Linked DNA regions of Danio rerio. The main gene of each other region encodes a partner of the protein of the gene in region 3 in a complex. Links are inferred from orthologs where the notes say so. Each region holds a gene or a part of one and is shown on either strand. Other genes may lie near its edges. The genes, in order: polr2j, ciao1 and ercc2.

The links.
Region 1: ercc2 (region 3) and polr2j share a complex: the UniProt entries of both Homo sapiens proteins name them as parts of the TBP-based Pol II pre-initiation complex. The link is inferred for Danio rerio from reciprocal best matches to the Homo sapiens genes ERCC2 and POLR2J.
Region 2: ercc2 (region 3) and ciao1 share a complex: the UniProt entries of both Homo sapiens proteins name them as parts of the MMXD complex. The link is inferred for Danio rerio from reciprocal best matches to the Homo sapiens genes ERCC2 and CIAO1.

Annotation. Positions count from the first base shown.
Region 1 is NC_133180.1:67,353,822-67,358,092, reverse strand, and holds the start of polr2j (DNA-directed RNA polymerase II subunit RPB11-a), read right to left. Parts: upstream 2,878-4,271; 5' UTR 2,842-2,877; coding exon 2,789-2,841; intron 955-2,788; coding exon 865-954; intron 605-864; coding exon 430-604; exon of another isoform or gene 1-429. UniProt on the Homo sapiens protein: Core component of RNA polymerase II (Pol II), a DNA-dependent RNA polymerase which synthesizes mRNA precursors and many functional non-coding RNAs using the four ribonucleoside triphosphates as substrates.
Region 2 is NC_133183.1:6,290,805-6,294,328, forward strand, and holds the end of ciao1 (probable cytosolic iron-sulfur protein assembly protein ciao1), read right to left. Parts: intron 3,446-3,524; coding exon 3,250-3,445; intron 1,970-3,249; coding exon 1,894-1,969; intron 1,565-1,893; coding exon 1,333-1,564; 3' UTR 644-1,332; downstream 1-643. UniProt on the Homo sapiens protein: Key component of the cytosolic iron-sulfur protein assembly (CIA) complex, a multiprotein complex that mediates the incorporation of iron-sulfur cluster into extramitochondrial Fe/S proteins.
Region 3 is NC_133190.1:26,156,294-26,160,405, forward strand, and holds the start of ercc2 (general transcription and DNA repair factor IIH helicase subunit XPD), read right to left. Parts: upstream 2,868-4,112; 5' UTR 2,681-2,867; coding exon 2,676-2,680; intron 2,541-2,675; coding exon 2,441-2,540; intron 816-2,440; coding exon 738-815; intron 546-737; coding exon 483-545; intron 365-482; coding exon 251-364; intron 161-250; coding exon 44-160; intron 1-43. UniProt on the Homo sapiens protein: ATP-dependent 5'-3' DNA helicase. Component of the general transcription and DNA repair factor IIH (TFIIH) core complex, not absolutely essential for minimal transcription in vitro.

The DNA.
Region 1 (4,271 bases), on a different chromosome or scaffold from region 3:
TAAAAACTGCTCCAATTGGTCTGTCGTTTTTATGTTGTTAAATTGAAGAAAAAAAAAAAAAAAAAACACTGGGTGTGTTTATATCACCCCAATATGACGGTGTATACACTTTACTTACACACGTCTTTCCAAACAGCTTGAAAAGTAGATTTGTTACCATAGGTGCCCTTTAAAACAACATTAGCACCATTTAACTGATCATGAACAATGTTGCATTTTGAAAGCCATTGGACGCTGATATGATTTCCCTATTTAGAATTTGCAAATAATACTTTTCTGAAATTATAATATTAAGTAGAACGTCTGAATGTGTGAATACAAAACCAACTTTACCTCAATTGTCTTTTGCAGTGCTGCTATAGAGTGCATTTTTTTCAGGAGCGCTTGTTCTGGAATCATTTTTTACTCAATGCAAACACATGAACATACCCTAAATCGCTCCTCCAGCAGGGACAGCTCACTGATCAGATCCGTGATGGCATTAGTGAAGGCTTCCTGAGGACTGTAGTCTGGTGTCGTCTGAACGCGGATCACAACCTTATGCTCCAGAGGATGAGGAACCTTATATCCAGCAAACAGCACCTGGGGGTCCTTCAGCAACTGCCTAATGAGCAATTCCAATGTTACAAATGTGACATTTGCAGTAAGATCTCAAAACACATTCACAGAGAAAGTATGTGTTAACATTATACTGAAACATCTGTTTATATTTTCCAAAACAACTAACCACAGAGTTAAAACCTAATCTTTTTCATGACAAGGTTGACATTTGCATGGAATTGCTCTAATGTAAATATAGGATGATTACAAAACCCACATAAATATCTGAAAATGTTTTAGTGTATCAAAAGTTTGGTCTCTTACGATCGGATGATGTTTCCCAGTGTGTGATCCTCTTTATTTAGAGTAAACAGACATGCATTCGGCACCTTGGTGTCTTTGGTTATTGTGATCCTGTAAAAAGAAGTTGAACAGAAATTTTAGGCAATCCCTTACTTTTAAAAATAGTAATGTTTTGGTACAGAGTATATACAGGAACCAGAGAGTGAATTTCAATACCTTTAAGACTCTCTCCATACAAGACCTTAAGACCTTATTATCACTTAAGATTTCAATCGGAAACAATAAAGAGATTTTAACTTACAGTATATTTATTAAATATTAATGTAAAAAACTTACATATTGATATACATAATTATATTGAATTAAAATCTATTAAATATAGCTAATTCAGCAGGTTGGTGCCTATAGAACTGCAGAAATAATGGTTTTTCCTTGATAACTGCAGTAAACAAAACTGCATGATGTCAAATCTAGCAGGATTTCATTGATTTCATAAACTACACAGCATCCTGACATTTAGATTTAATTCAGGCAAACTTTAGCATACAACCATACCTACATTGCACAATCAAAATTATATAAAATTTAACACCTTGCAAAATAGCATTTAGGATTTTAAAATACTTTTTAAGGGCCTTACATTTCTCTACATTGATTAATCAACTTTTAATAGTTCTTAAGACCCCGCAGACCCTGTGGTATCATGGTACAATGTTGGCAGTAATATGTCACTTTGTTAAGTAGATCAGAGATGAAAAATGTTTTTCTAGGTAAATATACAAAATATAATAAGCTTTATCATCATATTTATCATCTTTTTATCCTACTATAATTTTAACCCTTATTAAGAGAAGATGCTCACTTAAATGTCATTCAGTGCAAAAATATTTTTTTATGCCAAAAAGTATTGTCAAGCATTGAGGTAAAGTTGGTTTTATATTCAGACATTTGGTAATTTTTGAACAGTGAAACCTTGTAACACTGTGCATATATTGTTTATCACACTGCTTTGAATATTCAGTCTAAAATAGCCTGCAAATATGACTTCTCAAAAACATAAGTACTATTTACCTGACTGAACAATGTTGTACTTTGATAGTCATTGGCTGCTAATGATTTCTCTATTCAGAATTTGCAAATAAAACTTTTCTGAAATTATATTAAGGAGAAAGTCCAAATGTGCGAATACAAAACCAATTTTACTTAAATTTGTCAAGCATATCTGTCAGAAAGAGGCATTTACAAGGCAAAACAATTTAGTTTAAGCACTTACTACTGCATATTTTAATCAATGTAGATTACAATAAAGGTTTACTTTTTAAAAAATATATTCATATTTATATGGAAGGTTATTTTACTAATATTTTTGACAATCTTATTTTTATAGTTAAAAGTTATTTAAAACATTAAAGCACACCTTATTTGCATAAATTTTATATGTTAACGTTACGTATTACCTCTGTTATTTAATTTGATGCTGAGACCAATTACTGTACATGTACTATGGTATTTACATGGTATTCAAAAAATGTCATGGTATCATGACCTAAAGTACGTCTAAAAACGAATACTTTTATTTAGATTCACAAGGTCACTTAACCAACTTAAACTTAATTGAGCTAAATGTTGGTATTACATGTCTTATTCAAACAGCTTAGCATCTGAAATTGTATTCGTTTATACAAAAATAATGAACAATAAACTTAAATAGTGAATGAATCAATCGTCGATATGATTTAAGCTGTATTGTATAAAGCACTCTGTAAACAGAAGTAGGTTGTATTTTGTTTTCAGATGGACTGACTAACGTAACCTGTCGTTAGCCAACAAGCTAAAGCCTTTTGAATCTCCCTCCTGTCTTCCAACTGAATATTTACTCTTATTATAGGCTAGTATAATATGTTAGTATAATTGAATAGCAAAGACAGCTTTATAGTGCACTTACTTCTTTTCTCCCTCAAACAGCAAAAAAGACTCGAATGCTGGTGGCGCGTTCATCCTGCTTCAAAACCAGCAGCGAACGATGCTACTAATGGACGCACGTTGTACTGCGCATGCGCATGACATGGGAAGACATGGGAAAAAGGGTAATATTGAGTGAATAACGACCGGGGGCAGTATTGTGTCGTAGTCTGGTCGTAGTATTTTCAACACAACGACAGAGTTAAGAGGTACCTTTATTATGAGTCTTTTAATACACTTTGGGTCAAAATGGTTGGATTATATATCTAATTTTGACCATCGCTTGTAAAAGTTGAGTATGGTGATTAGCATGGGAGTAATTATTGACCATTCCACCGAATGGATGCATTTTGCTTATTGTAACTCTTTACAATTAAACTTCTTTTAATTACTTTTCAAGGCGGAATCTAATAACACACATACTTAACTTTTCAAAATATGTATTGGTCCACATAAAATGACTTAATTTGAGTTTTTACAAGGTATTATGTGGCAGATGAATGCATTTTTCAGTCATATTACCCAAACTAACGAGTCTTTTAAAAAGCATGAATAAAAGTCTATCAGGTAATTACTTTGTTTTCCTCTTAAGAAAGTGATTTTCTTTTTAAAATATGGTTTGTTACACTTTCAAACATTTGATTTTTGTATTTAAAAAATCACGATTTACATAAAAAAATGTATTTTTATAGGAATGCAAAGGCACTTTCCCTTTTTTCAAGAAAACTGTGGCCTGAAATTCATGTTTTTTATAACATAATTTACTTAACATTTAAGTATATGATGTACAGAACTTAACTGAGTAAATTGTAGGGAAAAAAAGTTTTCACAAGAAAACCAAATCAGTAAGTGAAAAGAGAGAGAGAGAGTGTGTGTGTGTGTGTGTGTGTGTGTGTGTGTGTCATGTAGTGGAACTGTCATTTCTGAGAAAACTATTCCTTTAAATATCTTACAACTTCAACATTTCCATCCATAACGTGTGGAAATCAGATGAATAATATAATAAAAACTGTTCATTCTATTAAGTATCAGAAGATGCTTTTCATTATTGTTACTCATTCCTGTAACTCTTATAAGTAACAGGACTGAAAGTAACAGGACTGAATTTCTAGCATAATATTTGCATGTAAATGAAATTGAGCCACACGCTGTACATGCTAATAGCTCAAAGAAACTTATCAAACTCCCTCAACTTAACAAATATCAGAAATTTTGCACTGAACAAATTACCTCTATGAAGTAATTTAGGTAACAAGATAGTATTTTTAAAATGACATTTCCAGTTTTCATTGCAATATCCGCAAATATGTAAAAAAATAAATAAAAATAAAACAAGATATATTATCTTTGCTCTTTCAATGGCCTTTCAAAGATCCAAATGATGCAACTTACTGTTTAACAACTATTTAATGGATATTATTTAATGGATATATAATTTCCTTTTATCTAAGTATAGAATTTTTTAA
Region 2 (3,524 bases), on a different chromosome or scaffold from region 3:
CACAAAACAAAACTTTCCATCTGGAGCTCCTTCACGGGACTCCACACTTGTAAACAATCGCTACATTGGGTTCGCGCCATTCACACGGCTCTCGGTCGACTCATCAGCGATACCAAGCCGACCAATCACAGAGCTTGCGCTACGCGTTGTTGCGACGTGTAGTTACATTTTTTGAGAGGTGCACGTCAGTGACGGCGACGTCCACGGCGAAGGGCTATGCGTCAGCGCCGTAGCATACGCCGGTGTTTGACGCAGAAGTATAAATCAGCCTTAACTCTGAGTTGATCTACTCAAAGTTGATTGACCCAACTCAGATCAGCTATTCTGAAACCTCTTTAATCTCTCTGCGGTTACCCATACTAGTGGATGCTGCTCTCTCATTGGCTGAAGGTGATCGCCAATGTTATTTTCAATCAGAACACATTTCCCACGGCATGATTTGAATTACCGACAGCGCCAGATATTAAGCATGCCAAATATCTCACGGATGACTCATCGGCAATTCTCTCATATTGCGCCCTTGATAGTTCACACTGTGTGATTGTCACTCATGTGAAAGAGCACCGATTTACCTGCGATTTCAGGCATTTTTCGGCAACTAAAATCATGCAGTCTGAACTCGCCATAACACACACACTCAGTCTTACTAGTTAAAATTGATAATTTTTCTGGATTTGAACATTCTTTAAAACATTTGGGACAATGTAAGTACATAAGTCAGCAAAATATACAGCATTAAAAATGATAATTCACTTGAAAAAGGAGCTGCTTTTGATCTTTAGCAGGCTTTATTTAAGTAAAGCCCTGAAGGCATTTTAAGCTACAGACAAAACTGAAGTATATCAATATGGTTAAGAAATTGTGACCCATCAAAAAGTCTAACAGATAAATTCGATTTTAATAAAAAGTGTATTGTCTTTTTGACCAGTGCTGTCATCAACGCACAATTGCAGTACTCAAAGTGAGAATAAAACAGCTATTGTTCCACATTATGACCAGTTTACAGGGGAAGTTCACCCAAAAATTAGCATTCTGCCATCATTTACTTATTCCAAACCTGTTTGAGATTCTTTCTTCCGTTAAACACAAAAGAAGATATTTTGAAGAATGCTGAAAACCTGTAACCATTGACTTCCATAGTATATGTTTTTCCTATTATGGTTGTCAAGGGCTACAGTTTTTGTAAGCTTTCATCAAAATATCTGCTTTTGTGTTCAACAGACGAAAGAGAATAAAGACCAAGTAAAGGGTGAGTAAATTACAGACCTCACATTTTTGGGTGAACTACCACTGATTCAGTGCTTTCGGTCTACTTGAGCGTCATTCACCGGCTCAGGCAGAGTTGTATTTCCAGATGGCGAACTCTCCATTGTCGCTGCATGTGGCCAGAAGTCCTGCTTCTTTCGGGTTCCAGGACACGCAGTTGACGTCCTGATTGTGGGCTTTGGGCACGTGGGCTGACAGGGCGAAGATGGGCTGCTCTGGGTCAGCAGTGGGGTCTTCACTGAACACACGCACTCCATCATCACCACATGCGGTGGCTAAAGCACCGGTCAGACGACACCTGAAATCGGGAGAACCACAAAGTAAAACAATTAGTGCTCGGGAAAAATTAATCACATCCAAAATAAAAAGTTTGTTTTGACAATTTAGGTGTATTTACGGTGTGTGTATATATATATATATATATATATATATATATATATATATATATATATATATATATATATATATATATTTTTTTTTTTTTTTTTTTTACTAATTCCTTCCATTAAACACAAATTTAGAAAAAAAAATATATATATAGGACGGCTAATTATTCAGTATATACAAATTCGATAACCACAGAAACCCTGTAGCCATTTCTGCTCCTATATATACTGCACATCTTACCATGCAATATCATATATTGTTCTCCCATGGAATCCAGACAAGGTGCATATACACTTCCAGGACTCATCCGAAGAACCTAACAGAAACATAAAAGCAGAATTCTTAGATTTATATTGTCGACTTGACCGGATGCGACCGGCTGACCGGATGTGATGTATTCCAGTGTTGTACAAGCTGGTCAGAGCGCGCGAGAAGAGAAACAGGACTTTATTTGGTTATTTTTTGAATCATAAAAAGTCTATTAAAAAAAAAACTGTTCATAAACGCAAGTAAGAAAGTAATAAAAATAAATTTTTTAATGTTGTCTCCACATTCCCTCCAATATTTGTAGCGGTCTTTGAGTTTCTAGTATTCATTCCTTCATTAAACCATGTAAATGCACAGAGAATAAAGGTTCTTGCTTTCACGCTCCTTTATTTCGGACACTGCCAGAACAGCTCCTCTCCCAATGGTGCATGACAACACTGAAAATACTGTGCGACTGCCACAAGGGGGCGTATTCTGACAGTCGTGTCCAAATGTCGTGTGCAGTGGAAAGGCGGCTAAACGAAATATTAAATAAGAAATCAGTGGGCGTGGCTTGTTTTTCTTCTGAGAGCTGATTGGATGTAGTGAAGTCGGCATTTCATTCAGAGAGCCGTCTTTCGGATGAGACGTTAAACCGAGGCCCTGACTCTCTTTGGTCATTAAAAATCCCATGGCACGTCTCGTAAAGAGTAGGGGTGTAACCCTGGTGTCCGGGCCAAAGTCCCTCTATCTGCCCTTACAATCATGGCCTCCCAATCTTCCCTTTCCACTGAATTGGCTGTATCACTGTCTCTCCGCTTCTCCAATAGCTGGTGTGTAGTGAGCGCACTGGCGCTGTTGTCCTGTGGCTGCCGTCGCATCATCCAAGTGAATGCTGCACACTGGTGGTGGTGTGGAGAGACCCCCCCCCGCCTCATGATTGTGAAGCGCTTTGGATGTAGGCCATACACAATAAATGCGCTATATAAATACACATTACATTACAAGAAAGATGGGGAAAGGGTTTGGAGACAGTTATTACAACAGACTCATCCTCCTCACCAATTCAGTTTGTTGTCAAAACTGACAGCTGGAGGGGCGTGGTTAAGTATGTTAGCCACACCCAAAACCTCAGACAGGCCTAATCTAAGAATTTAACCGAAAACAAACAGGAAGGGAATTTTCAGATTTTAAATTTAGATTAGAAGGGCAAACTTTTTTTTTTTAATGACATGCACAAATGAATTTATACAAAACTAGCAAAGTGAGCTAACAAAATCAATACGGTTAGATTTGATTTCACGGAGACTTTAAGATTAACTATGCAAAACTGTATCTAAAACTCCTCACCATCTCCAGTTGTCGACTCTTTCCAGATCTTTACGGTTCGATCGTCGCTACAAGAAGCCAATCTCCGTCCCTCAGGGTCAAAGGTCAAACTCCAGACAGTGGATTCATGTCCTTCTAGCGTGGCTCTGCATTCCCAGTCATCATCTTCCTCTTTATAAATACAGATCTTGTTGTCGTAACTGGCTGATGCGAGAAGCTGCAAAAGTATCAGAAAAAACACAGGTCAGTGTTGACAATTGGTGAATTTTTTTCCTCGCTGCTGTCGCCACTAGCTT
Region 3 (4,112 bases):
AAAACTGTGCCATGATTGTATATGCTTAGGAAATGTGTCCCACCTCATAAAACTGGCAGACAGGCTGATTTGGGTTACTCTGATGCTGCGCTCGAATATACGATGCTGTCAGACTGTGACATTTTCCATCTACTTCTTTTCCAAAACGCAGAGAGCTCACCTGTAGTCACACATTCAGTACTTTTTAATAAGATCACAGCACAGATTTTACTGAAATCACAGACAAATCTGCCCATTCAGCGGCCTCTACCTCAGGATGAATGCACAGGTTTTTCCTCGAGGAAAGTGCAAGGGCGAGGAAGTCGTTTTTTACTCCCGTTTGCTTTGAGTAATAATCCATCAGTTTCCTTAGCTCCTCCACAACCTGCAGGTAAATGAAAGATGCATAAAATAAAAATTAACATACGACATGTGTATTTAGAAAGCAAAAAAAAATGTATAAAAGGTAATAAACATCTATATCAAGTCAGTCAACAAAATACCTTCTCTATCTCAGGCACCGTGCGAGAGCAGTACACGAGCTTGGTGACTTCTAAAGGGTAAGTCTGTAAGAGATTAAACATTATATATATATATATATATATATATATATATATATATATATATATATATATATATATATATATATATATATATATATATATAATTATATATATAAATCAGGGATATTTTTAAAGCCATCAGACTGTCATTTAATAAAGTATTCAAATATTTAATCGTCGATCAAAATCCGTCACCTTCTGGTAAGCAACGATGAGCGAAAGAAGAGAAATAGTTTTTCCTGTTCCTGAGGGCATCTCCAGAACTCCATGACCCTTTACACACATAATAAAAACAAAATATGAAACAACTATACATAAGACAAACAATTTTTTTTTGTTTTTTATTGCTTTTTACTTTCACTCAGTCATGGCTCTGTTTAACATAAACATCCCATCCAACATCTCAGATAATGCGAGATTACAAAAAATGCATTCATAATCAGACTAAAAATGATGTGGTGAACTTTATTATTCCCACCAGGGGCAATTAAATTAGGGCAGTAGCATCATGATAACCTATAAATCCACACATTTGGTCTTTCTCCCTAATAATATACATTTCAGAAAAATATTCTTTGCAAATTCATATTTATAGGGAAACCATAATAGCATCCAATGACTTTTAAAGTACAACACTGTTCACTGTACAAAAAAGATTGTTTTGAAGTCATACTTACATAGGATTTTAGACCAAATATTCAAAGTACCATGGTAAAAAATAAAGGGAGGATGTCACGGAACGATTATGCGAATATAAAACCAACTTTACCTCAATAAAAATATTAGAGTAAAGCTGGTTTTATATTCACACATTCAGTCTTTCTCTCTAAAAATATTTTCAGAAAATTTTTCGGTCCCACTTTATATTAAGTGGCCTTTACTAACATGAACTTACACTGAAATTGAATCATTCGTTACACTTTACTTAATGAGTAAATATATGATTTTACATTGTACTTATGCTTGATTAAATATCTGCATGTAATTACATCTGTAATTAAATTCTGTAAGTACATTTATAATTACACTTTTTACCTGAACCAACTCTTAAACCAGCAAACCTTAAGACCACATTTCACTATACAAAAAAAGATTGCTAATGTTGTTTTGAAGTCATACTTACCTAGGATTGCAGACCAAATATTCAAAGTACCATGGTAAACAAAAAGGGAGCATGTCACTGAACAAATGTGTGAGTATAAAACCAACTTTATCTCAATTAAAACAGTAAAGTTGGTTTTATACCCACACATTCAGTCTTTTTCCCTAATATCATATTTTTAGAAAAATATTTTAGCAAACTCTAAATAGGGAAATCTTATTACCATGACTATCAAAGTACAACATTGTTCACTGCCTAAAAACATATAGCTAATGTTGTTTTGAAGTCATACTTTAATAGGATTTCACTCTGAATATTCAAATTACCATGGTAAACAATAAAGGGAGCATGTCACTGAACGAATGTGCTAATATAAAACCAACTTTACCTCAATTGTAAAAATAACGCTGTAAGAAGGAACAAAAAATACACTTTAAATTAGTTGTGTATCAACTATAGATGCATCTTTTGGCCTATGTCAAAACATCCAGCCACAATGTTAATATAGATCACTTCAATGTGGTGATATCTTTGGCCCATGAACATTTTCTGCTTGTTTCAAACTATTTCATAACTGTAACATGAGACAATTAAATCATAATTTAATGTTAAAACCGCTATCATGACATTATTTTACAATATATGGCTCTTTTTAAAATCTCAGAAAGTATGGACATTACAAATGGAAAACATGAAATACATTGAGACCATTGTTTTGGTTTACATCCCTGAAAATGGTCTATGTTGTTACATGATACAACATTAGTTTAATGTATGAGTGTCTGTGTATAAATACCTTTGCATCCAGCGTCCTCTTCAGCTCAAGCATATACGAGTATTGTTCGGGATAGATGTAGTCATACGGAAAGTAGACTAATAACCCGTCGATATTCAGCCTAATAGGATCAAATAGACATTAACGTTAGAGGAAAAACAAAACTTGTGTTAAATGAACAGCGGTTTGGGCCATTACCAGTCTGCAGATTTGCAGCAATGCTAACGTTAACAGTTAAAATTTACCGTTTACTTACTTCATGTTTGCTGGTATTGTTTCTCTGCAGCACTTAAGTGTTTCTCGTATTCAGTTTTGTATGTTTCCACACATTAATATAACTGTCATGAACGCATTACACAAAAAGACTTCTATCGAGGTACACAAGCGATCTCGGTAGCGTAAAACGCTGTCGCAGTGAAAGTGCGTAATCTATTTTGCTTAATTGATTGGTTGTTCGCTTCAAAGCCCGCCTTATCCTGTCAGCTCATTGGATGACACGCACGTCATGTCAATCCCTTGACGGAAGTACATTTGTCACCATTGGGGTTAATCAAAAAATATATATATAGAAAAGAAGTCCGCACTAAACTTTCGCTAAAATTGTGTAGGTTGTAATTTTCTTCACTACAAATATGACTGATTTTTTAAAACAAACAACAGTATTTTTTTCATGAAAAGTAAAATTTGATCAATTAAAAATATAGCCTATCACAGATTACACTAAATTATACTGTATTTTAAATAAACAAAGAAAAAAGAATGAAAAAAGCTAAGAAAAACGAAAAGCAGGTACAATTAGAGTGCATTGTAAACAAACAAGAAAAAAATAAAAACAAACAGAAAAGAGAAAAGCAAGTAGAGTACACTTAACTTACATTCATTCATTTTCCTTCAGCTTAGTCCCTTTATTCATCAGAGGTTGCTAAAGCGGAATGAATTAAAGATCTGAACTTCCCATCACTACTGTGTGTCTAACCTTAGAGGCAGCCATGCACACGATTTTACTTAAGGCTATCTTGTGGGCTGTTGTATTTGAATTTGAAGATGAGTAGGTGGTAGTGGTAGATGATAGTGGTCATGTGTCCTGTGAAAACATGTTTCAAAAAATTATTGTTGAGTTTTTATTTTACAATATTTATTGTATTTTGTACAATATTTATTGATTTTGAATCTTGTACATAGCAAATATCCCAATGTGCAAAAATAAATAAATAAATAAACAAAACTAAGCAACTATAAAATATGGAAACTAATAAAAACTAGTAAATCTACCTCTAAAAACTAATTAAAACTGATTTTGAAAACAAAAAGTCAAAACAAAATAAAAACTAAAACCAATAAAAAATCCAAAACTATAATAACCTTGCTGTGGAGGAAACCCACGCGAACAAGAGAAGAACATGCAAATTCCACACAGAAATGCCAACTGACCCAGCTGTGCTTCGAACCAGCGACCTTCTTGCTGTGAGGCGACAATGCTAACCACTGAGCCACTACTACTAAGCCCCCCTTCTAAAATGACATTTTTTAATACATATGAGGGGAAAAAAGAGAAAGAACCAAAGAAATGAGAACATTTTTCATTATTAATACAGGGGCATATTTTATATAATATATTTTATTTACATAAACATTTTTAAATCATATATTACAATGCAATAAAATATACAGTATTTCACCCTAACAAAGATTC